4 linked regions of the Lepisosteus oculatus genome follow. The protein of the gene in region 2 purifies or fractionates together with the protein of the main gene of each other region. This does not show direct contact. Links are inferred from orthologs where the notes say so. Each region holds a gene or a part of one and is shown on either strand. Other genes may lie near its edges. The genes, in order: lrp6, pomk, ghitm and tmem59.

Evidence for each region.
Region 1: the proteins of pomk (region 2) and lrp6 purify together in Homo sapiens (affinity purification with mass spectrometry; 3 studies listed by BioGRID and IntAct, counting the BioPlex papers as one, with this or other methods). This does not show direct contact. The link is inferred for Lepisosteus oculatus from reciprocal best matches to the Homo sapiens genes POMK and LRP6.
Region 3: the proteins of pomk (region 2) and ghitm purify together in Homo sapiens (affinity purification with mass spectrometry; 3 studies listed by BioGRID and IntAct, counting the BioPlex papers as one, with this or other methods). This does not show direct contact. The link is inferred for Lepisosteus oculatus from reciprocal best matches to the Homo sapiens genes POMK and GHITM.
Region 4: the proteins of pomk (region 2) and tmem59 purify together in Homo sapiens (affinity purification with mass spectrometry; 3 studies listed by BioGRID and IntAct, with this or other methods). This does not show direct contact. The link is inferred for Lepisosteus oculatus from reciprocal best matches to the Homo sapiens genes POMK and TMEM59.

The regions. Positions count from the first base shown.
Region 1 is NC_090702.1:26,705,972-26,713,042, forward strand, and holds the start of lrp6 (low-density lipoprotein receptor-related protein 6), read left to right. Parts: upstream 1-4,064; 5' UTR 4,065-4,336; coding exon 4,337-4,391; intron 4,392-7,071. UniProt on the Homo sapiens protein: Component of the Wnt-Fzd-LRP5-LRP6 complex that triggers beta-catenin signaling through inducing aggregation of receptor-ligand complexes into ribosome-sized signalosomes.
Region 2 is NC_090696.1:60,174,956-60,182,700, reverse strand, and holds the start of pomk (protein O-mannose kinase), read left to right. Parts: upstream 1-4,728; 5' UTR 4,729-4,847; intron 4,848-6,504; 5' UTR 6,505-6,535; coding exon 6,536-6,799; intron 6,800-7,745. Other genes in the region: glutathione S-transferase P-like, read right to left, coding at 3,318-3,342. UniProt on the Homo sapiens protein: Protein O-mannose kinase that specifically mediates phosphorylation at the 6-position of an O-mannose of the trisaccharide (N-acetylgalactosamine (GalNAc)-beta-1,3-N-acetylglucosamine (GlcNAc)-beta-1,4-mannose) to generate phosphorylated O-mannosyl trisaccharide (N-acetylgalactosamine-beta-1,3-N-acetylglucosamine-beta-1,4-(phosphate-6-)mannose).
Region 3 is NC_090699.1:20,138,329-20,145,177, reverse strand, and holds the start of ghitm (growth hormone-inducible transmembrane protein), read right to left. Parts: upstream 3,010-6,849; 5' UTR 2,910-3,009; exon of another isoform or gene 2,798-2,909; intron 2,045-2,797; 5' UTR 2,031-2,044; coding exon 1,899-2,030; intron 1,163-1,898; coding exon 1,060-1,162; intron 1-1,059. UniProt on the Homo sapiens protein: Plays an important role in maintenance of mitochondrial morphology and in mediating either calcium or potassium/proton antiport. Mediates proton-dependent calcium efflux from mitochondrion.
Region 4 is NC_090704.1:4,518,973-4,526,820, forward strand, and holds the start of tmem59 (transmembrane protein 59), read left to right. Parts: upstream 1-4,846; 5' UTR 4,847-4,932; coding exon 4,933-5,088; intron 5,089-5,355; coding exon 5,356-5,461; intron 5,462-5,829; coding exon 5,830-5,924; intron 5,925-6,399; coding exon 6,400-6,552; intron 6,553-7,637; coding exon 7,638-7,719; intron 7,720-7,848. Other genes in the region: tceanc2 (transcription elongation factor A N-terminal and central domain-containing protein 2), read right to left, coding at 666-854, 2,270-2,463, 3,364-3,505, 4,134-4,232.

The sequences.
Region 1 (7,071 bases), on a different chromosome or scaffold from region 2:
GAGGTAGTAAATGATTGGCTGATGGCTTCTGATTCGTTTAATATTCTCCTTATTAATTTAAGGGCAGATAATCATAGCATCCTGATACAATCATGATATCCTGCTGTACGTCTGGGAAAATGTTCTATGGATCACTGGGTCTCCTCATGTTGGATCCTGTTTGAAAACCAGGAAACAATCCATAAAGACTTCTGTGCTGGGTCTTTTATAGGGTTTACATGTTGCCTCTTGTCAGATTATATAATGGATTCAGATGGCACTGCTGATTAAGATCAGATTTACTTGCACAACAAATCAAATACTACTGCTATAGTTCTAAAGTGTCTGCCGGGTATTAAAATATGTTTCCCAGAAACTGAGACAAGGCTGAGGTTAATAAACTCATAAACTCCCAACATCTCAAAGCTGATCAATTCAGTGATGTTGATAGGACTAAAATAAGACCCTTGATGAGGGTTAAAAACCTCAATGTTACTTTTGATCCTGCATTGTTATTTGAAGTGCATGTAAGGAACATTATAAGCATGTCTTTTTCTGCATGTCAAACATTGCTTTGATAAGACCCTTGGTCTGCCTTGTTCTGATGCTGAAAATTTGATACATGCCTTTATTTAATCCAGTTTAGACTGCTTTAATGCCTTACCTGCTGGACTTGGTATGTGCTAAGGTACTAAACAGGCTTAAGTACTGTATGTCCAGAATCATGCAGCTCATGTGTTAATTAAAAGTACCTTGCATTAGCACATAACTTCCGTCCTCTTAAAATCGCTCTGGCTCCCATTTTCAAAAATGGTATGGCCAAGCTTCAAGTTATATTAGGGACCTATTGCGTGAGTATAGTCCAGGGAGTTCTTACTCTGCTAAAGACATGGCAACTGAGCCTTCTTGCTTGCTGTTTAACTGACTGCCCAGATCCATTAGAGACTTTGCAACTGCTGTCATTTATAAAGCTCCCATAAAAACCTTCTTCAGAAATTCACTTAAAGACCTCCTTCTTCCCGCTGAAGCCTTCGATATGTGATCAGTTGAAAATGTAATAGTTGTATTTTTATTATCAATATTTTATTGAGCTGCATGGTGATGCAATTTGCCAGCATTTCTGCCTCACAGCGGTGGGGCTCTGGGTTCAATTCCAGACCTGGGGTGCTATCTGTGTGGAGTTTGTAGGTTCTCGCTGTGTTCATGTTTGTTTGGTCCAGCTGCTCCAGTTTCCTCCAACAGTCCAGAGACATACTGGTTGGTTAACTGGTTTCTGGGAAAATTGGCCCAGGTGTGAGTGTGTGTTTGTGTCTGTGTCTGCCCTGTGATGGGCTGGCATCCCATTCAGGGTGTATCCTGCCTTGTGCCAATTCCTTGAATTGGATAAAGTGATTAGAAAATGGATGGATGGGTTTATTGCATCACAGTGCAGACTGCAGCCTTTCTAATGGGTTCTAGAGAACTGTTGTATTATGACAAACGTAAATGCAAAGTACATAGAGGAAAAGACAATACAATGAGGTTTAAGATGAGTGTTGGATGAATATTTTCATTCAATGACCTTCCAAGTCCTTGCATTTTTGTTTCTTTTCTGGTGGTTTATAATATGTAACACTGAAACAAATTACCCAACGAAAGAGACTCTTTGAAAGATCCTGCATTTAAAGGGTTCCTTCCTAAGCTTCTTCCGGTGTTATTGCATCTGTTCATATGTTTTTGTGTTAAGGCACATTGTGGTTTATTTTGATTGAATGAAAAAATGACAAAAGGTATAAATAGTGCTAAAATGTGGAAATAAAAATGTCATTTTTCCAGCTGACACTATGTAGTTTTTCTCACACAGGAAAATCTCACTAAATCATTTGAGGACAGGCTACAGAAAAAGACAGCCAGGCTTATTGTATACTTGTAATAACTTTATCGGATGCCTTCTTTCCCTGGGTAATTCATACAAGTGAAAACCTTTCCACACAAGCTGTCCTTAAGTGCTAGTATTAAAATGAATGAAATGCTCCAGAAACCATCGGAGTCAGCAATACTATTCCGTTTCAATCATTTCTATATAACGTATCCCTTTGATTTTGGATTTACAACACAAATCCGACACAGTTCTCAGAAGGTATTTGGGAAAATCTGTACATCTTTAATCACAACTACTGCCCAAAGCTTCTTTACTGGCACTACGTTCAAGCACATTATGTACAGTATATCACACTTACTTAGGCATAATGTCTTTGACCTTCTGCTTTTAACAGTTGAAAAGTTCCAAAATCTGTCCTTAGTTGAATGTTGTCAATTTCATATCCTGTCTGTTACGCAGATCCAGAAACTATAGGTATAACACTGTACACTGCAGTATTTTGCAGCCTATTTTGCTTTAATGACGTACAGTACAGTGCAGCAATGCAGGTGGAGACTTACTTTCTGTACATTTACTGTGCAACTGGCTTGACCAGCATGTTTGCGCACAGAATCATCTAAAATGGAAGGACCTTCAAATGTTAACACATACTGTATGTATAGTTTATCATTTCAAACTGAACTGAAAGAAAACCTACCGTGCTGATGAAATAAGCTTGTGAATTCTCTCTTTTTAGAATATTAAGAATAAACAAAATGGTGAAAGAGAACAACTATAAAGTATTTTTCTTAAGACAGGATTTTTGTGTTATGTAGCAGAATATGATTTAAAAATATTTATGATTTTTTGTTATTTGTGAACAAAGTCTCAGTTATCCTAATTATTACTGTGAGCTTGATTTTTGCTCTTTTGCAACCATGCCGTTCTGTCGAGTTATTCAGGTGAAGATTCTATCTGAGATCCACAATCAAAGCACTCATCTAAACCTGAGACAGATTACTATTGAACTGACTCATTCACAGACTCTACGTACTCATATTACAGATACTTGTATTGAAAACAGGATCTGCTGAGATTTTAATGCTTTACTTTAACTTCTGGGAAACAGTCATCTTCACTGGTTTTAACATAGTGTAGTTTGTCGGGAGTGGAACAGCAGAAGACAAAGGCTGAGTATATCCAAAAAGTAGACAAGTAGACAAGAAACACTCTCTATGGTGCCATATATTGTACACGTAAGGTAAAAGATTATTGATTTTACGTCCCCAATCTCCTACAGACTGTAAGTGAAACTCCTTATCTAAATATTCTGTCTCACAGACTGGTTTAACACAGCCTTTGTGTGTTAAAAAATTAGTTAAACATAACCATCCTTCCAGTCTGATAGAAAGTACATACCGTATATCATCTTACAAAAATATCAACAAGTAGGTGAAACTTTTGTGTACTTGTTATTCTAGCTACTTTTTTCCTAGCTGGCTTCACGCGGAGACTAAGCGATTTATCATTGGAGAACAGGAGGTACTTATTTACTTGAACGTTTGTGGAAGTCTGGAACAAGCCACCCAGTTATGCTGTTGAAACAGATACCCCGGTTTCCCTCCAGAAACGTCAGAGTAAGCACCTTGAATCAATTAGCGACGACTAGCACCCAAAGGAGCGACATGGGGTGAATGGCCTGTTCGTTTGTAACCAGCAACATTCAAAACTCTGTGATGTATAACAGATGATGGATTAATTTTCAGACATAACCTTTGGGGGGGAAAAAATAAAAATCAGTTTCAGAAACTCTTTATTTTTAGAAACGACAACGCAAATCACTACAACAAAACCTCTTGCCGACTGTCTGCAAACCCACTCCGTTCCCCAACACAGAAAAATAAGATCCAGCAGCACAAGCAGGGTCACAGGGGTATGTTGTTCTAAACCGAAGCACCAATCACGGCGTGAGAAACTAGTCCCTCTGGAATGTGTTTCTGCGCTCCTGAACAATTGTTGTAGAAGCCCGCATTTTCTCTTTTCCACAAAAAATACAGAGCCGCTGCTACAGTCTCTCTGGTTATTTCTGCTTTGAGAAACTCCGCTGCCTGTGCGGAGTACCTGGCAGTGCCTACAACAATAGCCGCGAGTCGAGTGTGTTTTAAAGAAAAAAACGGAGGGAAAGAAGGGAAAAAGGTGGTGGTGTGCGTGCGTGTGTGTGTGTGCGTGCATGCGGGGGGGGGGGAGGGTTAGCATTTTTCTCCCGTGGCGGAAGGAGACGAATTGAAATCCAACGTGTTGTTGCGCCCGGGCAGCAGAATGAGGGGTTTGGAATCGCAGCGCTGCAGAGCCTGAAGCAGGAGCGGAATGGAGCGGAGAATAATGATATAGCAGCATCGCAGCCAGCTCGGTCTCAGCAGCGCTCTCCGCACCCGACCATTCCGAGGCAGCGGCGAGACACGGGCATGAGAGCTCCGCGCTGAGCGGCCGCCGCGGGGGCAAGCGAGAGGGAGAAAGATGGGCGCCGTGCTACGGAGTCTCCTGTTGTGTAGTTTCTGTTCTGTGATACGAGGTGAGTTTGTGGCGCGGGTGGGTTTTGCTCTCTGGAAAGTTGGGAAAAGCCTTTTGAGAAGTGGCCATTTTTTTGCACAAGGCCTTGCGTGCAAATGAGTGGGGCCCTGCGTATAGGGTACCTTGCTCGTAGTAGTATCCGATCTATGAGTATATGGGAGTGTGTGGTGAATGGGATGTGGATATCCCAGATATGTGCTGCTATATCTCTGTCCTTTCCACGCTCTCTATTTGAATTCGATGTAATGCCGTGAATGTTGATTGTTCTGTGTTGTATTTTGAAAAGGTACCCCTTTTATTTTTTTCCCTCAAAGAAGATACAAGAGCGTTTTGCTCCACTGCAATGTTTTTTTTTTTGGCAAACGTTTTCCTGCCTTGTCTTAAACGGTCTCTGTCGCCTTCATTCACACGCGTTTGTTTTAGCAGTAAATCTGTTTCGGAGTTGAAAATGGATTCTGAAATGTAAAGAAATCAGAACAAGCAGACAATATGCACACTTCTGGCCGAGGGAAGATGCTCGCATAGCTTTGTTTTAACTTATTTCAGCACAAAGTTTGAATGACTAACCGAACTTGGCTGGACTAGATCGGCGGAGATTTGTGCTACACAAAACAAGCTTCCGTGGCTTGTATGGTACAGCTTGTATGCAGGTTTAAAACACTCATTTGTTGAATTTGTTGTGTTGCAAACATCCACTCAACTCGAAAATCATTTGTGGTCAAAGTTTGGAAAATGGGGTGTAGGAGATGGACCCCCTCAATTAACCTACACTGGATTTTAATTGTTTCATTGCACGCTGTGCGTGATTTCCAAGGGGGTTGAACTTGGTCAGATAAATGTCAATAAATGTGACATACGGTGTAGATTTAGTCACGTCTTTCAGTACGTGCAGACAGATAAGAAAACATACATCTTGTACAGCTTTGTTTTCACAAAACGTTTGCGTAATTGCGGATAGTTGATGTGGAAAGTTTTAGTTAAAATGTATACAGTAAAGGTAATCACAGGACGGGACTATTTCAGCTTTTTATTTCAAACTGATTTAAAGTTACTGACAATTTCCTATTACTAACACGTTTAAACTGACCACTCTTACAAATAAGCCTTATCAAACACCTTCGTGTTTTGCAGACATTTGCTTTAGTGTACATCAGAAGTGTATTTTTTTTTTATTTAATCTATAGGTGTCACTTATAGCTGCTTCCTCTCACAGTCCATGGTTCCAGATTTTAAGTCTGGACTGGGGCAGTGTGTGTGTGTGTGTGTGTGTGTGTGTGTGGAGTTTGCATGTTCTCCCTGTGTTGGTGCGAGCCTTCACCAGGTGCTGTGGTTTCCTCCCACCCTCCAGAGACCCGCTGGCAGCATTGTCTTTAAGCTGCTGCTGTGTGCATGTGCCCCAAGATGTACTGGCATCCTATCCTCAATGTAGTTCTGTTTCACGCCCTATACGTCCAGGATAGGGATGACTTTCACCCGCAGTGGGAGCCTGCAGGAAAAAAAAAAAAACATCTCCTGGAGTGTTAATTTGGTGTCTGTCGGGGTTGATCTTTTTAAGGCTTTTATTTGTGCCTAGTTCACATCGTTGGCTTAACAATCCATTATGCTGCCAAAGGCATGTAGTTATGAGATTGCCCACTTTGTGGCCATTGGGTCTCATTTAAAACAATTGAAATTCTGATCATAAACTTCTAACAAATTAGAGAGAGCTCTGCCCGTCGCTGCAGTGTGGGCACTGCAGAAGGAGGCCTCAGAAATCGGTCTGGGAAGTATTTGTTGGTGTAAATTGAAGTAGCAGATGGTCGGTCTGCGGTGGAGGCAACCATGTTGCCTCCATCTTTAATTTTAAGAGTTGTTTTCTTTCTAGTTATTTCTTGTGGCGTCTAGCCTTGCCATCATTGAAGTTATTAGCAGATATTACCGTTTTGCCATAAATGAAGCTGTGACACTGTTGGCATTCTGTGGCGCATTTTCTTTCTCCATTATTTGCAAGGAATGACAAGTGGACTGTTCCTTACCTTGCTCTTTGTGTAACAGCCTCTGCATGTTACCAGCATTCCTTTCGCTTCGAGAAGAGAAAAAATCCAGTGTTTTTTTTTTTTCCCCCAGCAGATAACATCAATGTAGTGTCATAAGTGGAGCTTTGCAAACAACAAACTCACACATTACATTCCTCTGAATCTTCCAGCGCAGTCTGGGGGCCAGTGGTTGTAATTTCTGCTAGGACTTTTCATGCTTTAGTGTAGCCTTTTGTAACATCTTATCAGTGTGACTTCTCTCTCTATGCGTGTCGATACTTTTGTCACATTTATTAAGTGGAAGCTGGAACCAGTGTAAGGGGAATCTTCCATCTGGTGGCCATATTGCCGTATGTTATTTACAAGGAAGAGAAGCCTGTAAACTGAAGCTTTCATGTAGGAACTGTGGATTTGTGGATTTCAAGATCAGTCAACACCATCTTAATTCCAGACAAGGCCCCAGCGGGTACAATGAGCAACATTGATGAAACATTCTAATTAATAACCCCCTGTGTGATTGTGCTGAAGTTATCAAAGTGTTATTAAATAAATTCAAGGTGTTCCTAACGGGAGTTTTCCTTCTCTGGAAATATTCGTCCAGCTTTTTGCAAATACTGTGGCCCTAGTTAAGCTTTACAAGGTGGGTAGTTGAGCAGAGAGAGCCTG
Region 2 (7,745 bases):
CCTGTCATTTCTACTGCCATGGAGCAGTATTCATGTCATCTAAAGCACCATTTAGTTTAGTGTCCGACTGGTGACTAGAGATTGGACAATGTAGAATGTGCAAGTCATTGGGGTGGGACCTGTAGAACAGGTTTTTTAAAAACCCATTCGTGAAGTGATTGCTTTGCACTCTGTCAAAAGGTTTCAGTTGCAAGTAATGAAACTGGTTGCTGGTTTATTTACACATTTGCCTTTGTGTTTCACCATCTGTGAAGAGTATTGTAACGCATACGGGCATCAGGGTGTGTAAGAGCCGGCTTACCAGAGCAGTGACGTTGTCGCCCTTCCCTGTGATAGCAAGACTACAGCCCCTGGGCTGAGATCTCTCTTTGGCTTACTGGGCTGTGTCCCTGCTGAGTGATGTGGGAGTCCTGGGTTCGAGCCACTGTTGGTGTGGGGCTGACCTAATCTGGTAAGGGTGCCAGCCTCAACCCCTGTTGCATTACATTGGTGTCAGGAGCGGGGTGGGATAGCCCTTTGCCGGGGATGGCGAGTTAAGCGGGAGAGAGTGTAATGCATACGGCTATCAGGGTGTGTAAGAGCCGGCTTACCAGAGCGGTGACGTCACCGCCCTTCCCTGTGATAGCAGGACTACAGCTACCGGGCTGTAGGGAGATCTCTCTTTGGCTCACCGGGCTGGGTCCCTGCTGAGTGACGCAGGAGTCCTGGGTTCAAGCCCCTGATGGTGTGGGGTGTGGGCGCCTGCCTGAACCCCTATTGTGTTACAGTATACAGCATAATTTCACAGTGACTGTCCTGTCTAAGGAAGAAGAATAGGGACAGGAATTCAACAGCAAAAAAATAGTATGACTAGAGCTGGGGGGATCACTTTTGGCTCGCCCATGTGAAGTGGATTTTTGAATGCTCCTATGCCAGATGGTGTAATGTAATCCATGGCAAATTACTTCTGCACAACCTGCTTTAGGAGATCAATGCAATGGTTTTACAAGGCATCTGCCACCTTATAACAATAGTCAACAATACTTCAACAACAGATGGAGGGTTATCTAACCATCTTGTGGACCAGTCTAGACACACCGTTGTTCTGTACGGAGTGCGCAGATGAACCTGGGACTTGATCGGCTTCTCTGAGGCGAGTCCCAAAGCCCAACCTTCACAGCCCTGACAAGCAGCATGCAAGCTCACAACATCAGAAAGTCCTTTGATATAGAGGAACTGGACCACTGGGAGTCTTGGAGATTTACATTAAGAGCTATGCTGCAGATAGGCAGAGAGGGGCAGCAGACTTGTTTGGCACATGTCTGCCCTTTATTCACTACATCACAGAACTCCCACAAAATGACTCCCCACTGTTAAGACTCATTTTTGCTGTAACATGGTATACAAAACATTAGTACAACAATGTTGTGAGTACAAACTAAACATAGTGTGCTCACATAACAGTGACTGCAGCAACAATGTGGCATACTGTATGTGAATTGTCCCCTTCTATACTATAACAGCACAATTCAGACATGAGTGGTTACACCCAGGATTCAATCCATCATCTTTCAGGTAGGCCCAAGGGACAAAGGGCAGGGGTCTTGATGAGAAGAACTGGACAGCTGTTGGGAATCCTGTGGAGTCATGTCATAGTAACAGTCTCATCTTCCACCACAAGACCTAACACATTCTGACCCTTCAAATAATCCAGATCTCACCCTCTTGTTTAATAATCTGCATTGAAATCCTTCTATATGTGTGTGCAATTGAGTGCATTCTCACTCCCAGGCTTCACTGCAAGATGAACATCCAAGACAACTACTGTAGATTACCTGTTCAAGGTCCTTATTATTGTACAAGTAGTGAGTTTCTGGCTTGTCAGCACCCATAATAATAATAATAATAATAATTGCTTACACTTATATAGCGCTTTTCTGGACACTCCACTCAAAGCGCTTTACAGGTAATGGGGTCTCCCCTCCACCACCACCAATGTGCAGCATCCACCTGGATGATGCGACGGCAGCCATAGTGCGCCAGAACGCTCACCACACATCAGCTATTAGTGGGGAGGAGAGCAGAGAGTAATGAAGCCAATTCATAGATGGGGATTATTAGGAGGCCATGATTGGTTAAGGCCAATGGGAAATTTGGCCAGGACGCCGGGGTTACACCCCTACTCTTTTCGAGAAACGCCCTGGGATTTTTAATGACCACAGAGAGTCAGGACCTCGGTTTTACGTCTCATCCGAAGGACGGCACCTGTTTACAGTATAGTGTCCCTGTCACTACACTGGGGCATTAGGACCCACGTGGACCACAGGGTGAGCGCCCCCTGCTGGCCCCACTAACACCTCTTCCAGCAGCACCCATGTCACCCTGCAACTTACAATTGGCAGCCCACTGAAGCTAAGCAGGTGTGAGCCTTGTCAGTACCTGGATGGGAGATCTCCTGGGAAAAACTAAGGTTGCTGCTGGCAGAGGTGTTAGTGAGGCCAGCAGGGGGCGCTCACCCTGTGGTCCATGTGGGTCCTAATGCCCCAGTACAGTGACGGGGACACTATACTGAAAACAAGTGCCATCTTTTGGACGAGACGTAAAACTGAGGTCCTGACTCTCTGTGGTCATTAAAAATCCCAGGGTGTTTCTCAAAAAGAGTAGGGGTGTAACCCCGGCGTCCTAGCCAAATTTCCTATGCCTCCTAATAATCCCCCTCTATGAATTGGCTACATTACTTTGTTCTCCTCTCTCCCCGACAGCAAGCGGAGCAACCCGCCGGTTGGAGTATTCTCGGTCGCATTTAATGGGAACGTCAGCTCAAAGATTTGGTTCAAACCACCAAATGGAGACGGGCGTGCCGACAAGAGGACCCTGCTGATGAGAGAGTGAGTTTCTGGCTTGTGCTTTTCCATTCTGAAACTATCCAAACCACATGATAGGTGGATGGATTTTCTTTTTGCGAGGACTGCAAAAGGAGTAAGGGTACACACACAGACACCAAGGAAGATTTTGATACAGATTGCACAGATCACAGCTAGGCTTATGGAAGTAGTGCAGTGATATGTACATCCTTTTAGGGGGGAGTCTGACTTACAGACATTCATTATAATAATCATAATAGCAAACCGTCCTGACATTGTGCAGCATGACAAGAAAGAGAAAACATGCCTACTGAACAATATAGGCATTCCAGACGACTCGAACATCATGATGAAAGAAATGGAGAAACGGAGTAAATACAAGCACTTGCAAATTGAGATCAGCAGGATGTGGAATGTGGAGACGAGAGTTGTGCCAGTCATTAGGGACACTCAAAAAAGGGATTTGATAATAACCTTTTGTTGCTTCCAGGCCATCCATCAGCAGGCAAAGTGCAGAAGATCACACGAATGGGCACTGCACACATCCTTCGTAAGGTGCTTCAAGTAAAGTAGATCCAGTAGATCTGGATTTACAAGATACTGCTGAAAAATATCCAGTGAGAGGAAGAAGAAGTTATAATAATTAAAATTGTACATGTAATGGGGACTCCCCACCACCACCAACAATGTGCAGCACCCACCTGGACGATGCGACATCAGCCAAAGTGTGCCCATCTGCTCGCTGCACAGCAGCTATCAGTGGAGAGGAGAACGGAGTGATGAAGCCAGTTCATAGATGGAGATTATTAAGATGCTGTGATTGGTAAAGGCCGGGGATGGGAGGATTTGGCCAAGACACATGGTTAATACCCCTCCTGTTTTCAAGAAATGTTCTGGGATTTTTAAAGCCTGACCCTACCTGTTTTTATCCGGCATTCACCAACTATTGAACGCTGAATCATTTACCCAGAACTAAGTTAACCAATGTAAACTAGATAACTCCTTTGTTCAATATGTCTCACACCCAGCACAACTAAGTAAACACTTCAGCTCCTTTCTCACTTTGAAGATTCCTAGAACCGCAAGTGTTCATTAGCCAGGTGTTAAACATTGCCCCTAGACACCTCCATTGCCACTTCCAATAACTATAAAAATATTATGTAATAGGTATGTTAGAAAATAGAAACCATAGTCCCCAGAACATCTACATTTATAGCAATTAATATTAATTTGTTCCTCCTTACCACACTGAATACAGCTTAAATACAGCCAGAAATTTTAAAAAAATGTAAATTAATCTACTGCATACATCTACAGTAAATATGCTACAGTAAAGTGATATAATACCTGATTGGAACTGATTCACCTAAAAAAATACATGATTTGAACTGGAGTAATTAAAATAGTGATTATGAAAGGGAAAGGTCTGTTAAACTACTGTAAATGTATTAGTAGCTACAGTTACAGTAAAACTATACAAACAGTTACTCTACTTTGGTAAACGATATTACCCACAAGGGAATGAAAGTCATCTATATTGGGCATTCAGGAAATATAATTTACACTGTATAATTAATATTAACTGTTTTTTTTTTCCACAGTAAAAAGGAGTAACAATATTTGTGGTAAAATGGCTCACTGGTAAAACTATGATAAAACTACTCAACACAAGTATGTCATTATCTCAAAAATGTGTATATACGGATGATTATTTAAAAATAAAATTTAGAATGAAATCCTTGAATGAATGAATTTATTAACAGCGATAGGATTTAAGAAGTTGAGTGGTTTAGTCTTGAAATGTCCAGTAGATGGCGATGAAACGAATCTGGGGAGGCTGTATTTTCCGCTTTCCTTTTTTTTTTTCCGGCTAATGCATCCGGTTGAGAGGGTAGTAGGTGTTGTAAGGTTGTGAGTAAGGTGATATTTTAAAGTGTAGCAGCGTTGTTTGATAAGGATTAGACAAAGAGCATTATAAGACAAGGATCGTTGAGTTACATGAAAGTAAGTAAATGTACATGTTTTTAATTTTCAAAACAAATTAATTACATTTTTTTTGTTTCTTTGACCACAGTGTAAATAAAGCTGTCATATTTTCGGTGCTAAATCAGAACCACTCGCATCGCACGTCTTCTGTGTCTTATGCTCTGTAATGTTTTTGTGGGGGAACAGAATTCAGGGAAACGGGTACGCCCTTCATGTGAACACAATTTTGAATGATTTCTTTTTATTTCAGTTGCAGGCACTGTAAATCACCCAGTGTCAGCCTTAAATGTCTAGTAATATGCTACGCATCTTCAATATGCTTTCACAGGTGTGGAAATTAAAACATTTGGCTTTTCATTTTAATCTCGATTGACAATGTGTTAGTTTAATAGTATCGTAAAACGTTCTGAACTGTAAAAGGTACGTTTTTTCATAATAATATGCGTAATCACCCAAAAGCGGTAGATCCCTGTATTTAAAGAACGAAAGAGAGAATCGGATTAATATGTTATCTCCAGTTGCTGACACTTGTTCTAACAATTAAATCAACTAACGTTTGCACGATTTATATCGTGAATATCAGGCAAACACAGCAGGCCAAAGGAATTGGGATCATTTCATGTCAGTCAAGATTATTATTCCAGAGTTCTCACATTTAATCTTCTTTTTTAAAAGAAAACCACTGATATTCAGAGTTTACTGAGTATTTTGACTGAGGTATCATTCTTTCACTCTTAAAAAATGGCCCTGAAGGTACAATGGAGAATAAGATATTGTAACAATGTTAAAACGTATTAATGCTATATCATTGAACACAGGCTTTTAAATTAATTTACTTCTTGTAAAGTGACTTTAACCAGATCTTCCTAAAATGATTTTTACTTTAGCCACTCATGTATTGAGGTATTCAAAATCAAATATTCAGGAGGGAAAGCATTACTTTTGTTCTTTGAGACACCATATCTTTTTGACACAGAATTAGTTGATTGGAATGACTGTGAATTAAAAGAAGAAATGCATTCAGGAAGGGTCACTGGGTGCCAAAATCAATTTCATAGTGTTTTAAGCATGTCAGTAGAGCACTGCAAGAATTTTACAGGAGTAGCTCTGTGTTTTGGTCAGTTTTATAATAATCTCACAATAATAATATCCTTACACTTGTGCTTTTCTGGACACTTCAAGCGCTATACGGGTGATTTGGGCTCCACCACCGATGTGCAGCACCCACCTGGATAATGTGACAGCAGCCATAGTGCTCCAGTACTCTCACCACACATCAGCTATCAGTGGATAGGAGAACAGAGTGATGAAGCCAGTTCATAGATGGGGATCATTAGGAGGCCATGATTGGTAAAGACCAGAGGGATATTTGGCTAGAACACTGGGGTAACATCACTACTCTGGGATTTTAAATGACCACAGAGACCACATAGAGGACCTCGGTTTTACGTCTCATGCAAAGGATGGCGCCATTTTTACAGTATAGTGTCCTCGTCACTATACTGGGGCATTAGGACCTGCAAGACCACAGGGCAAGCTTCCCTTAGTTTTGTCAGGTGTGTTGATCTGAGATGGATAGGATGGCCTAGTTAATGTGATCCAACAGACAAGCAGGACTTCCAGCTGCTGCCGTCGAAATGCATAGTGTAGCTGACGTGGTGGAATGTCTCTGCAGGTTTCGGCCTCCAGCACAGGAAGATGAAACCATGGTCAAGGGTGGCGGCTCTCATGGGGGGGTGCCAGCGGTGCTCATCTGTCTTGGCGCTCTGCTGTGTGCCAACGTCCTCATCTACCTCTACCTGGACTCACTATACCAGGGCAGCAACCTGCATGAGCACCTGTACGGGGACTGCCCTCCTGGCCACTTCAGGATAGGGGCCATGAGGAACTGCTCGCCATGGCTTCAGTGCGAGGCTGTGCTCAAGGAAGTGCGGAAGCTCAAGATGATCAGCCAAGGGGCGGTCAAGCAGGTGACACTTCCCTTTCTTTTCCCAAGGAACGAGCCACTGTTCTCTGCTTCCTGTTCTCTTAATGAGTAGGGCCCGAGGCCCTCCCACAAGCTGGGGTTCACTCACTGTGCCCTCTTGTGTGCTTCTCCTTTTTAGCTCAGTTTTGTTTTTTGACAACGTGCACAAAACCGATGCATAGAGTAGTTTGAGTCTTTAATATTGATTAACCTGGGTGTCTGTAGAAAGAGACTCGATGATGTGCTCTTCAGTTTTAACACAGGATTAAAATGTAAAAGAAATTAGTTCATAATAAGGGGTTGGGGCAGGAAAGCTATGAAATACAATGTTCTTAATTTTAGCATCTTAATGGTTCGAGTCAAAACTAGGAAAAAAAACTAGCTTGATAAATAGCTTTACTAAATAGCTTAGCTAGTAAGAGTAATTAGAACTTTTTCTTCTTTGTGGTTTGAGTGAAGCAGGGATGAGTGTCTTTGTTCAAATACTGAGAATTGCAGGTTTTACATCAGCCTGAGTGAATATACATCTATAGTAGTTTGTAAGTTAAGGAAAAACAAAACAAAATGACTGAAGCAGTTATATTTGTGATAATTTAATTCAGTATATCTTACACACGTTCTGACTACCGTAATTAGAGACCCAAGTAAAATTGTGTAATTACAAGAGTTTGAAACTAAGGACCTCCATTCAGCCTTTTCTGGAATGATTTATTAACTTTTATTGCCTTTTTGAGGTCTTTTCTCAAGGAAGATTTTCTTTCGAGTTAAAAATGAAATGTCAAAGTTCAGTCGTGTACAGAGTACTGCCGTGCTTCAGTTACGTAGGACAGTGGTTACATGTTTGCTAAGCAATAATTCTGTCCTTGAGCCCCTTGATTTTGTAAAGGCCCCATGATCACCGTGTGACAGCACAGGCAAAGGCAGACATCACCTGTTCGAAGCCGTTGATG
Region 3 (6,849 bases), on a different chromosome or scaffold from region 2:
TTTTGTATCATTTTTGTAATTTTGTTGTATATAACGTCCCTTTTCCAAAGCAAAATTAAAATGACACCTGACCAATCATTTAAACTTCCTCTTAAATGTATCAATTGCTCCCCCTTGTGGTCTAAATAGATAGTATGTGAAACAGGCAGATCAATCGTTTATTTTGAAAAATCACAAATTACCTACAACTCAAAACACTAATTTAAATATTTAACAAAGCTTGCTAAGAAAAAAAAGGTGACCACCAAAGCAGAACTTTTGCCAGGACACTGGGTGGGCTAACCTCCTTACACTAACAAATCATGACCATGTCTAATGACAAATAGTCAGGACCTTGGTTTTAATTACTCATCTGCAGGACAAAACCTACAGCACAAAGTCCCCAGTCAGCATACTGACCAGAACCAGTCTTGCTTAGCTTACCAGATCTGACGAGATCAGGCTACAAGATAGTCTGTCTGAAAAGTAATACAAATTGGATATTTTCTGAAATAATGGTGTGTTTTGAAATTAAAAGCTGCAAACGTACAGTCTGCATCATTTCCTTATTTAGCATACATATAATTACTGTGCAGTAATGTATAGAAAACAGAGCTAAAACTGAATCACTGGGATTACACAACTCTCAAAATGTACCAGCTGGATTCAACTAGTATACTAACAGGAAGGAAGTAAATCTGTAACATGGAACTAAGAGTAATACTTCCATTTAATTTTTAATTAAAATATATTGTTTTATTATGTATTTTAAATGTTTTTAAAATGTTCAACCTCATTTAAGCCTCATTGTTAACTGCAGATAGCACTGCTGTTTCAACAGTATATTTTTATCAACCTTGAACCTGACAAAGTAGTCAGAAGACATCACATTTAGTTCATGAATCAATCAATGTAAGAGACCAAACCAAGTATGTACTGTTCATAAAATGAACCCAATCTTATTTACCACATAGAAACGTTAAACAACAGTGTGTCTTATATGTGTAAAAAGCTTTCAAAGAAATTCAAAACACTCATGAGTAAGTATAACTTAGGAAAACAAAACTGTAAATACAGTACTTTTAACTGCAGTTTCTGTTGCAGGCTCAAAGGCTGCCTCTTTGAGTTGCTCTTTTGCAGACTTGCTGCGCCGGAACCCAAATCGAGCTTTGGTGGCATATTCCTGGTAAGGAGAAATAGGCAAAATTAAGTAAACTTCACACCTTTTATTTGTGCACATCAGTATGTTCACCTTATAGCCAAGCCCCCCAAAAGGAAAATAAATAATACAGCACTAACAGACATAAATGTCAAGGAAATCTTATCCACAAGACTGAATCACTGGGATTCATCAGGGATGCAGAAACAGACTGTCAAAGTATCAGATGATAATAAAATGGTTTATTCTATGCAGTACTTCTAACAACATGTAACATCCCAAACTGGGGTATACACCATGTAAGATCTCAGAGGTTAACTGCAAATTATACCAATATCGTTGACAAAAATTATAACCACAACCGTTGACAAAAAGAATGTCTCCACGGCCGAAACATTGTGTTTTCTTTCTTCTCTTTTCAGCATGGAATAAACCTTATTTACATATTACTTGTTCCTTTACAACCAAATACATTGCGCAGCCTTGTGGAGCACTAGCTAAGCTCTGGACTACTGGACAGGACATCCAGGAGGATGGGGATTAAAATTCATGGTGGGGGGGCACTGGGGCTCTCCCCTCGAACAAGATGCTTCAGTTCGACTGCTTCACTAAAATACCCAGTGGTACGAATGGATAAAGATGTACATCTCTTTGGAGAAATGCAGCAGCCAAATGAACCATTCAAGATCTCCTGTCAACAAAGATCATTACTGCTGGAAGGAAAAACTGCGAAGTACAGCTGGGTGGGTTATGGTCTCACCTTGCAGGGCTGGAGGAAGGATTGACTTGGCTTCAGGCTTGGAGTCCTCAGCGTATTAGTCGTGTGGGTAAGAGCTGAGCGAAGCCCTGCTGCCGGTAAAACGCGCAGACATGCCAGCCTCGCCACCAGCATTGTTTTATTCTTCCCTGGAAAAGTGGTAACGCAAAATCCAGTGAACCTGGATCTCACACACACACATCACGTATCGTGACACAACCGGACACTGCATAAAGAGCTTTGTGCCGCAGGACTTCATGATGAATATAAAGATTCTCACAGCGATGGACAATCCCATCCAAGGTGAATCCTTTTTTTTTTTGCTCACCCTTTGTTTTAAAGGTAACGACATTTTTATCCTAGTCATTTTGCTCTTTGAACCAAATTTGATTTTTTTAAATGTAAACAGTAGAAATTCTTTGTTAAAATCGAAAGAAAATACAGAAGCCGACGGAAACTACCAGAAATTACCGAACGTACCGGTACGGTCTAAAACGTACCATGGTACTGTACCTCGTAACTAAAGAGCCGCGCACCTCTACCACTTAGGCCAGATTCTTATATTTGCCTTGCACTATATCAACATATAAGTAAAAACAGTTTATTGCATCTTAAGGATTATGTGATAATTATCTATCAAAATTATTTCATAATCCATAATGCTACTGAACATTATTTTTCCGTCTCAGCCTAAACACTAAGTAAACCAATGACACTCCCGAGGATTTCTGAATACCAGACTTATAGTTTAAAATAGCTTGAATTACAACTATTATTCTTACCTAGCAAAAAGTAAAAAGACACCTTAAACTTCTAGATTACTGGGTTACATAACTAAAACTAAGGTTACGTCTCGATTGATGTTCCAAGAAAATATAAAAATGTTTGAATCATTAGTCTACCTTGCTTTGCAGTCAGAATCACAATACCTTTTGCTAACAAAGCTGAAAGTAATGTTCACCTCCACAAAGTATAACGCTGTTTTCGTCTCTTCAATATTACGGCTCTTCTCACCTTTAATGCGCACCAAAATACCACACTGATGTAATCAGCAGCAACCTTCCTGAAAGTTCTTACTGATTGCGTCATCAAACAGCGTCGGTCTCGCTTTGGATTCTGGGAGTTGGCGTGTTTAGGCTTTAAGGTTCTTTTTATTATACTAGGATCCTAAAGCCTGTTCTGGTTGATTATATAACAAAATACAAATAAGTAAAAGACGTGAATTGTATAAATTATCCGTGCCAGTTTATTGTGTTTATTGCACTTTTTCAATGAAACCAAATCGCATTGTTGACAACAAACACAAGATGGCAGTGTTATTTCCTGCATTGTACATTAAGCCAAACCGTGAAAAAATGAAAATGAACTGGTTTGATGTAAATAGCTTAATATGTAGCTCGTAAACCAATTGTACAATAAAGTCGAATGCAAGGGGGGGATTTCATACTGGAAGATTCATACTTTCATTCCTGGGTGAAGATGCAGCAATTCGTATCTCAATAGACGCCCATTCTTGTCTTATTTTTACATTAAAAGCATAGAACGAGAGCATCCTCATAACAGTGTCATTACTATAAGCAAAATACTACAGACGCTACTTTAACAACTTGTACATTTTATATTGTTGATGCGACCATCCACTGAAACAAAAACAGTATCAGATGATAGTTCATTTTCTTGAATGAAACTATGTTCCTACCCTGCAGATGTGAAAATGTAAATTTTACTTTAAATAATTCAGACCGTCAAAAGACGATGTTCTAGGCCGATACAGGTTATTAAAACATAAATATTCTTACTCCAGACGCGGAACATCAGTAACGAAAGACAATATCGGTTTGGAAAAACGTTTGTGTTCCGTAAAATCGAAATAAAAAAAAACAATAGTTTCCAGAAGGAGAACGCGAACCATCTTCTTTGTATATATTGCAAAGAATACATCGGTTATTCCATTTCATAGTGAATTTCAATTGTAAATTGCAATCCTGCAGGTAAATGTCATAAGGAACTGAATACAGTACGTACGATAACTTTAGTTCTAGTGTAGGTATTTTACTCCCAACGTAAATTCCCCACTGTCATTGGCTCTTTGCTCTTTGTCCAGATACAAACTCTGTGGAACTCAAACCTGGCCACGTTCACATCTCTGCAGGCAGGAGGCTTAAAACCTCTTAGGTGTTTGCATTTCTTTAAAAGTGGGATTTTGTTTAAAAAAAGGCAAAGGTGGGTTTAAACCGTCTTGTGGGCCATGAAAGGCCAGCACAAGACCCGACCTATAACAGTTCATTCATTCAACAGTGGGATCCTTGTTTAGAAATTCAAATTACCGGGAGGGACGGTGCGGTCACGTGGCTCGGTGTCTGAGGAGAGCCCGGTTTCGGAGTTCAGCTGAGCATTTGTTGGAGGACGAGAGTTCGCTCAAACGTGGTCTTCAGTGTATGACTTCAATCTTGATAGACTGGGGAGTAAAGAGACTATTTTAAACTGATTTGCCCTATGTGTTCCTTACAACGCCTTTAAACATATCTGTGGCGCATCAGCCAACATCTAAATCAGGATTTGGGAAAAAAAAAACTTTGGTGAGGGTTTGATTTCTTGGTTACTCTTTCCCACTGTGGAGTTTGCTCTGTAATCGCTGCAGTGAAAATGCAGCGCTCCTTCTAATGGACGTGGAAACAATTCTTCTGATAGAATAACGGAAATTGGTGTCCGCACACACAGAGGTTCAGCTTTTTTCGGAAATACAGGAAAATGAGGGATGCAACGGCGCACGTAGTCTTCTGCACCAATATCTTAAATTACTCTACAGAGTGTGGTCGTGTAAGTATTTGAAACTTTTACCGTGTCCTTCATTTAGCATCAGCGTTAGGCAAAGGTTTGTGCAACAGCATGTTGTTACGGTATGTGACTACACGTTAGTAGGATTGAAAGCATTTATGCTTGTCTTAATGTTACTGTAAATGATACTATTACCACTTCTATATTTGTCGCAGAATAAATTGATATGGCAACGTATGAGAGGAAGTCTATGACTTTGACAAGTTTTCAGTACCTAATACAAGGCAGGAAAGACGACAAGGTATGTACTTTAAAGTGGGCAGGAGTGAGGCTTATAGCTCCGTTAATAACTAAACTTTTTAATTGCTAAAACTTTATGGTGTAGAAAAATAGAAAACCTTCTTTTTAATAATGTAAAGAAGACTTCAAGCTGACCACACGTGCCTGAGACCCAGATCACAGCCCGATTGGGTGTCGGGAGATGCTGAGCCGAAAGAGAGACCAGAGATTAAAAATGGATGAACCCGGTGTACAGTCGGTGACGAAACTGTCTGCGTTATAGGCTCTGAGATGTTCCAAACCGCGAGTGTGTGATGCAGTGTGATGGGTTGGTTATTTAAAAAAAAAAACTAATCCGCGAACACGAAAGCTTGCCTTTTTAAAAGCCGCTGATATTGAGTTTCTGTGCGGTTAAGCATCAGGTCGTATTAACAGTGCACTGCTGTGCTAGGGTTCTCACAGCTTGCAAGGTAGCACATATTGCACATCACCATATTTTGCTATAGCACTGTGTGCTTCATGTACATTATATGCAGTTTGTTGAGTTTCATTGGTATTCGGATTTAGTTTTTTTTTTCGGATTGATATTACACTTCCAACTTCGGTGAGCGGTTTTTCAGCGGTCTTTGCAGAATTATTTTTATAAAACAATTATATTAAAAAAGTGAATGAATTAATAACTTATTAAAAAAAACAGTTGCAGTACTGTATAACCCTTCTCCCTTGTCTGAATTACAAGTCAGAACCGTATGAAGTTTCACTCCATTGGTATTCGGTGACTAATTCTTAAATACCAACCGGCGTGGGCTACTTTTAGGTTTATTCTTGTTTAAACACATAGTTGGCGTTGTTACAAAAGAGCTCTTAGTTCCTGCGGTGTAAGAAATTAGGCATGAATATAGTAGCATTTTTTATTCCTGCTTGCTAGCAAAATAATGGATACAAAAAATATCTTAATTTTGGCCCGTCTTATCTTGGGTAATAATAACAAAAGTATAACGGTTGAGACAAGGTTAAAGAAATTTCGAAAGCCAAAGAGTGATTCTTTTGTGGTTTTGTAGCTTTATAACATTGGGCAACTGCTCAGACCGGTTTCACCCTGTTTGGCTTCCCAGTACCAGCTCCATATATACCCCTGCCGCAACCACCAAGGCGGTGCCGCTGATTGCTGTCCGTGGGGGTGGATGTACTAAAGAACAGTGGGGACTCGTGGGTTCAAAATGATACGCTTTTAAGCTTTGCCAGACGCTAAACATGTTTGAATTTGGCTAGTATCAGCTTGGGTTTCGGACTTTCAAACAACTCTGAAGAGGAGAATGAATAATTATAAGCACCACTTCTTGGACAAAGGCGGAGAGGGCAATGTTTTTTTACACTTAAGATTCTACTTAATTTATTTTTTGGCTGTAAGATAAAGACATTGGGGAGCAAAGATACACCTTTTGATTGTTGCTATTGACTATAATGCATTTCACACCGCTCTCCTTAAGGGTGGACATCTTCATCCTCAATCCTTTCCTTCTTGGCTCGTCTTTCCTCAGAGGTGTTACTAGACACAATGTGCCCGTGGGGGTTCGCGTCCTGTAATCAGAATTGCCGGTGCTGCTGAATAGATGTTAATGCGGGAAGGTGGCCTATGCAAGTGATAATGTAGCAATTGAACAGGGAAAAAAAATGCGAATCTTACGCATCCAACTTGAAGGGTTTTATCAGGATAAGGAAAAATGCGCTCTTCAGTTCAAGAGAAAGGAAGACACTGTACAGAGTGGGCTGTGAAACCACGTTTTTGAAGTAGATACCTTTAAGTTAAAACGGGATGAGCTACAGTACTTAACATAGCTATTAATAACCAAATGTTTAGTTAACGGGGGGGGGCTTTTGCTGTAATTTCACCATC
Region 4 (7,848 bases), on a different chromosome or scaffold from region 2:
TGGATGGGTTCTAGGATCAATTAGCTACTAACAAATAGGCAAAATATCCTCCTCTCATGTTCTTCAATGACTCTATTCACTGGGGCATGGGTTTCGGGCAGTCTTTCCTCCAACTTCCAGCTGACCATTCCTAATTATACAAGACTATGCATGTCCGGCAGACGTTAAAAATTGTTACATTGCATGAAGTAAAACGGAAACTAAGACGTACACGTGATCTGTGTTTCCATTTGTCAAACCTGAAGTCTTTGTCGCTCATTTGCGTGGGAAATAGCGCCACCTAGTGGCTAATCCCACAGCGGCACTTCAATCTCATTCGGGAGGTCAACATTGCTACGACGCCCACCTCTTGCATTGCAAGATTGAAAGCTTTAAACTTATAATTGCAGACACTTTAAAAGCGTATCTAATCCTTTTGCCGACATTTATGGTTTTCAGCACTCAATGTCATAAAACATGCAGCACGTGGAAAACACATGGGGGAGATTGTTTAATATTCATTTATTGATGCCATTTATTATAAAAGAAAAGATTAAAAAGCTGCCACATCACTATTTCATACAGTACTGGGGTAAAATAGATCCAGATGCCTGGTGATCGATCTACAGTCCTCCTTTACCAGAAGGGACTTCCCAGAAGCCTCCTTGGCCCCGGCGCTGGCGAGGTTATTTCTTGTGAGCCTTGACAAACTGGTCGACCGGCAGCACGCCGCCCCTGACCTGCTCGCGCAGCTCCGGCTTGTGCTTCAGGGCGAACACCAGCGCCCTCACGGTGCGCCGGTACGCCCCGCCCGCCAGCCGCGAGCTCTGGTGGAACACCTCCCGCTCCGCGTTGTCCACCAGGCCGTGGTCCGCCTGGGAGAGAGGAAGACCGGAAAGGACGAGGGAGAGGAAGGCTGAGCTCTGCACATCTGGGGCGTTTCCTCGTGCAGAAACGGGCAGGAAAACCGTCTGGCTTTGGATCGCACGGGTGTGAGGACGAGTCATTAAAAACGACCAACACCCTGTGGTTTGTACTGTATATCAGTCATCCACTTGGCTTTGGAGTGGCTTCCAATTAATACGCAATGAAATGACCTTAGACAGTTTTGCTCGGACTAATAAAGGATGGATAATGACAGATGAAGGCTTTAGTGCCTTTTCTACATCAGAAACGTCCTAAACTTGCACCGACCGTTAATTTCTATATTACAAACCGCAGATGGCAACAGGAACGAAATCAAGAGGTACTTCATTATACGAATATTCGTCAGGTTTTGGAGCAAAATGCTCATCCATTCTATTGCAGCACCCTGGAATCTTTCAGAAATGGCCAGACGTGATCATTAGATTGACGTTCTAATTAATGTTCACTGCTACCTCGCGGCTTTGGGGCCCCGGGTTCAATTCCACAACCACTGACGCTATCTGCGTGGAGTTTGCACGTTCTCCCCGTGTTCACGTGGGTTTCCCCCAGGTGCTCCGGTTTACGCCCACAGTCCAAAGGCATGCTGGTAGGTTAACTGGCTTCTGGGAAAACCGGCCCTAGCATGAGTGCACTAGCATCCTGTCCAGGGTGTATCCTGCCTTGCACCCATTGCTTGCTGGGATAGGCTCAGGCTCCCCTGTAATCTTTAATTGGCAGATGCAGTTAGAAAATGGGCAGCTGGACAAATCTGCAAATGGGCAAGACAGTTGGAATGAGGATGAGGAAGTGCAGGAGCTCTCTCGCACAGCCACCTTGGAGCCACCTGTTTTTTCAAAACCTCAAGAGGTTCGGGACTAACTGCAGCAGAGGCCCGCATCCATCCCAGACAGCGCCACCTGCCTGCAGGTGCCGGGGCAGCCACAGGGGGGCGCTATGTCACTGAGAGCCAGGAGAGCCTTGGCTTTCTAATCCCACCCTACCCTTGCTCGCATCTGGACCATTGCTTGGGGATCCCCAGCCACAGCTCGTGACCTGACCCGGGTTCGGACCCGAAACCCAGCTTGTGCTCACCGCCTTCCCTGGTGGCCTAGGGGGTTAGGATTCGGCCACTCTTCCCACCACCACGGCCCGGGTTCGATTCCCGGTCAGAGAAGAGAGTGTGTCTGAGTCTTCCTTTCTTTGATAGAACAAAGTAGAGGTGGCGGGCCCAGGTTGCGCTCAGGTAAGAGCCCCTACTGGTCGAGACCACCACCACGATTGTAAGCTCTGCGGAACGGATGCCAGCAACGACACAAAGCTGACCCACTGCTCTGGCCCTGAACTTGCTGCTCTGCGGGGGTTCAGACGGGCGGAAGGGGGTTACCTCCAGGCCCATGGATTCGGCCAGCAGTTTCCGCGCGGTGCTCCTCAGCCCCTCCGACTGGGCGTCGCAGCGCACCTCTATGGAGGGCTTGTTGGCATTCTCCTCGATGAAGGTCTTCCACTGCGCGTACACGGCGCGGGCCAGCGCGGACACCTCGGGGTCCGGGTGCCTCCGCGTTCTGTTCACGGTGTGGCCTGGGGAGCCCAGGTTTCAAGATCAACACTCGAGGGCGACCATCCCAGCCCACTGCGCGCAACGCGTTCAAATGTGAACGGAACTCACTTTTTTTCCCCAAAAAACTTAACGAGAAACCCATTGTGCAAGCAATTCGACTCAGGTTCTGTTATTCAGAGGCGACAAAGGAGGTGCCGTTATGCTGCTGTGGTGACAACTGAGAGGACGCTTTTCCTCTTGCAGCTTTGAAACAAGAGAACGCAAGACGTTAATTTATGTGCCTTTCGGTTCAGGTTGTTCAGACAGGAGGTGCAATAAACTTAAGCTAGCCACAGCAAGAACCTGTACAAATTCAACAATACCAGAGTAGAATACAGCAGTGGAGGGAGAATTTAGTCCCAGGAAACCTGTGTTGCTTTGCGTTTGGATTATCTTGGACACCATACTCACATTGACATTGCAATGACTGAAACAGGAAGGTGTGTCAGCTTGAGTTGGTTGCTAAGGAGCTGGGGAAGTTTATTCGATCCACCTTTCAGACTGGAATTAACCTTTACTTGTTCCTGTACACTGCAGTGATTCCCTTGGGTGGACAAGTGCAATACTGACCAAGAGGCTGCTGGGTAACAGCAGAGAAAGCGTCAACAACGCATGAATGAGTACCCGAGAGCACAAGTGGAAACTATAGGCTAGTGTGGAAAATGGAGAACAGGAGGCACTTCTTTACACAAAGGGTGGTGGGAGTGTGGAACGAGCTACTCAGCCATGTTGGCAAAACCAGTGCCCTGGCTTCTTTTAAGAAACAGCTGAGTGAAATCTTCAGATCAATTAGCTACTACCTATCCAAATGGCCCCTCGGTTATAAACTTTGTCATAATTTTATGAGTGGGAACTGAGGAATGAGCCACTGAACTTCTCACCAATTTTGGTTGACTGCAGCACTTCTTTTGAGGGGATCTTCTTGTTGAGCTCTGTCAAGGCCAGTAACAGGTTCTCCTTTGTCTGCTGGGGCAGTTCCAGCATCGCCTTAAACCTCTCGATGTCTTCGATCACCACGACTCTCTGCGGCCACATCAAATGGCATGTTCTCAGTTAGACTGGGCCCTCCTAGCTCTCACGCACTGCGGCAACAGCATTAGGATACAGGTTCTGAAACAGGTTTTCTTCCTGCTGTGCTTTAGCAGTACCTGAGTGCCAAACATATCTGATACATATTATACTGCCTTTTTGTTAAGGTTAGCGAATTTAAATTAGTCAATAAATCATATGGATCTAGAGTTTGTGATTAAATTAGATGATCTGTAATCTTTATCATTTATGTGATTACCACACGCAACAATATATACAAATATGGATATTGGAGTAGGTTCAGCTGCATGGTACAAATAAATGACTGAAAAGAAGCTCTTGTGTCGTGAAAGCAAGGCTTAAATGAGTAAAAAAGTTTTTTTTTCATCTGTTTCCAAAGAACATCTGTCCTGTCTTGAAATGTCTTGAATATAGAATATAGACAAATAAGTTGGCCATTGGAGTCTTAAGAAATAATCATTTCAACCTTGGGTACAGCATAAAGCTTATTTTTTAATACAGACAGATGAGTTACACTGAACCACCCAGCCTTTTAGATAAGAGTCAAGTTGCACCGGTGTCAAAAGAAAACAGAAAGTAACCAAGAGCTTCATTTACTTACCCTTAGCGACTCTATCGTTGCCTGCCTGTATACTTTTCCTTGGGTTTTCGTTTGTTTTCTGGTTTCGCCACTTGGAAGCTTTATCACAAACTTGTCCATTTCACTAATCCCTTTCTCTTCTTAACAAAACAGATTTCTAATTCTCAAAAAGTGTTGGACTGATGGCATTAAGCTAGTAGCTGTAGCGGACTGGATATATCATTTGTTAAAACATTCAACAGTCCCTGAAACTTAAATAGGTAGCCCGGATTACAAATAACTGTTTAATTTTCTTTTCATGAAGAATAATTTAAAAATATACTTATTAATAGGCACATTGCCCTATCCAGAAATAAAAAGCGAATGCACAGTTTTGCAAGGCGATGATGCTAGTACAATGTCGGCATTATAAAAATGAAAAGAATAAAAAGCCTCTTCAAAAACGAACAAAAGATGTACGTTACTCTGCGTGTATCTGTAAATAAACTCGGCACTTACTATACTACATCGATTTAGACGAAGCCACACTCTAGATCTCGTAAATTTTCATTATTTTCACTTACGACCCAGTAAATTAGATCACCGCCATTTTGGATCTTGTATGAAATCCTGTGTCACTATCTCACTCATAGAGTATTTGAGCCAAAATGGCCACCGGTGATGGATTCACGTTCGCAGTGTCACAGACGTGTGTGTGTTTTTCTCTCTCGTTTCTCCCCCCCCCCAACTCTCGCGATAGTTACCGCGGAGTAGAAGAACGAGGAAGAAGACGCTGTTCTGCCGCTGCGACTGGTGTTTGTTTTTCATAACAAAAATAAAGATGGAGGTGTGGAGGTTATGCGGGTGTGTTTTGAGTTTCTGCTGTTTGCTGCTGTGCACAGCAGCCTCTTCCGACATATTTGATGGAGTCCTGGGGAACACGGCTTCCTGCCATAATTCCTGCCAGATGACCTACAGTCTGCACACTTACCCTCGGGTGAGAGCTCCGGGCTCGTTTGTAAACACAGGTCTGAGGAGAGTTAGCGACACTAGGTCTGTCGGTAGCGTTGGTGCAGTAGTTGCTGGGTTTTTTTCCTCCATAAGATACATATGTATTGATCTTGTTTGCCCGATTACCTTGACAATATGCGCGCTGATCACGTTACCTGCAGTGTCACTTTACCGTCGTGATCCGGGAGTGGAGAGGATTATGTCTAAAGTGCGCTTTATTTTCTGTGTATGCGAACTGCCTTGTGGCTTGTAGGAGGAAGAGCTGTACGCCTGCCAGAGGGGCTGCCGGCTGTTTTCAATTTGCCAGTTCGTGAGCGACGGAGAGGATCTGAACCAAACCAAGTCGGAGTGCGACTCGGGTGAGCCTGTCCTTGCAGAATTCATCTGTGGGGCGCTTCACTTTCCTTTGCGGAGTCACAACTCACAATTCCTTTCATACACGTCGGGGGGGAAAGTTCCCCTCAGGAGTTCAGCAAGCAGTGCTGCCGTGATTTGAGTCACGCAGATTTTCATTTTCATGCAATGCAAGTCCCCGCAATGAAAGTGTTCCCGTCGCCAGTGGAATCACTAACGGGATCAAAGAAAATCATACAATGTTTCTGAAGAGGGAGGTGACGCTGTTTGATTGCCTTTATGTCATGCTTTGTGCAGACTGCACTTTGCATGCGTCTAGTGCTGTACATTCTCCGTCTGTCTGTAACATTTTGCATATCCTGTTCTCTCCCAGCCTGCCGTGAGGCCTACAGCCAGTCTGATGAGCAGTATGCCTGCAGCCTGGGCTGTCAGAGTCAGCTGCCCTTTGCTGAGCAGAGACAGGAGCAGGTAAGGTCACGTAGTGGCGTGTTGTTGCTGGGCTGGACCTGAGACCCTTAGACAGGAATTTCATTATCTGCAGGCTTGAAAAGCAATGAAGTTCACTAGGAGACTGGAGAACCTTTGTCCTGTTCTTGGGGGGGGCAGCTGTCTTCCCCTCCCACTTGAGTTTGTTTTAGGTAACCAAATGTAAACCACCCACTTCTAAATGTCCAGAAGGTGGCAGTTTATAGCAAACCAGACTTGGGTCATGTTTGTATAGGGCGTAACACGCCGGGCAGGTAACGGCGGCCCGTGTTGATTCAGCGGTGTGACTTTCAGAACACGCGATCCTGCTGCAGGTGATCACCTCGCTTAGCAGTGCTCCCTGGAGAGAGAGAGGGCTTGTGGACGTTTCCGTGCGATCGAATAGGACAAGCAGGTGTCATGGCGCGCCTTCCTGTTTCCTGGCGCTGCTTAACCCCTTGCCCTCTTCCTCCTCCAGCTGATGGCGATGGTGCCCAAGATTCACCTCCTGTACCCCCTGGCCCTGGTGAGGGGGTTCTGGAATGAGATGATGAGTTCTGCCCACAACTTCATCACTTCAACCTGGACCTTCTACCTCCAGGCTGACAATGGGAAGGTGGTCATATTTCAGGTACATCACCGTGTGACTTGCAGTCCAGACCACATATGGATTTTGCTTTGCAGGCTTCGAAAGAAACTTAGCGACCGTTTAATGATGTTATTAGGAAAATTAATCTTTCCTTGTTATGAGGTACATTGATGTTTTGTGGCGCAGGCATCCCAGAGATCAATGCGTCGCGCTCTTCAGCTTTTGTCATTAACAATAAGGGGGGTTCTGCTGTGAAAGTCTCATGATAGTAGAGTACTGCAACACCTTCTTGCTTTGCACCAGGTTGCAGATCCTGTCTCATACCTTCTCTGTCCTTGTCGGGACAAACACGTGCCTGTTCATCTTCTGAGCCCTTAGTGCCGCAAGTAGACCCAGCCCGTTCCTCGGACATTCAGCGTAGCTCAGGTCTGGCGACTTGGACATCTCCTGTAGAACTGTCACAATCTCGTCTCGCATGAAAGCCCTTCTTAAAGGAGCAGCGTGAGGACGTGTGTTGTCCTGCTGAAATATTGTCATGTCAGGATGAGGTCCCAGGACATAGTCAGTGTAACACCATGCAGCTGGTTATCCTCAGTTACAGTGTCCTACAGTTAGACAACCGCAGTGACTGGACACACCTGTCCAGACTGCCTCACTTGACCCTCCACATCTTTTGGACATGGCATTTAGCGTATCGACCAGCGTGCCTGTTCCACAGTTGCTGATATCCCCCAGAACAGTTGAGACAGAACAAGATTTTTTTATTTTATTTTCAGCAGGATAGACGTTCAGTAGGTTAAATGTCAACGCCAAAACTTTATTTTGTGACTATGCGAAAATGATCAATTGATCAAAATGTTTAGTAAGTGTCCAAGATCCTTATACTTTATTGTTCTAAAAACAACATATAGTAGCGATACATTTCTTTTAATTCTCAACATATGGAGAACTTTGTAAAGTTATGAAAATGTAGTAGGAGAAGAACATAATTAACACAGGGCTTTATGAGAAGGAAAAGAGATTTTTACTCAAATGAAAGATTGCTGATGGCACCAAAGCTTGAAGAAGGTTTTGGGTTTCAGGATTTTTTATGAACTGAGCATGTTTCACTTTTCCTCTTGTTTCAGTCTGAGCCTCAGATCCAGTTTATTCCTGAGTTTGAACCACAGAATGATGACCTGAGGGAACCCACTCTGGCAAAGAGCTCTTGTGAGTCTTTAATGTCTTTTTTTTTTCCCTGAGAGGTTTTCCTTTTCATACTTTGTGCAGTTCTGGTACCATATTCTTTATGGGAACTCCCAAGTGGCTGACGTGATAGCTGAGCTGATCCAAATGCTG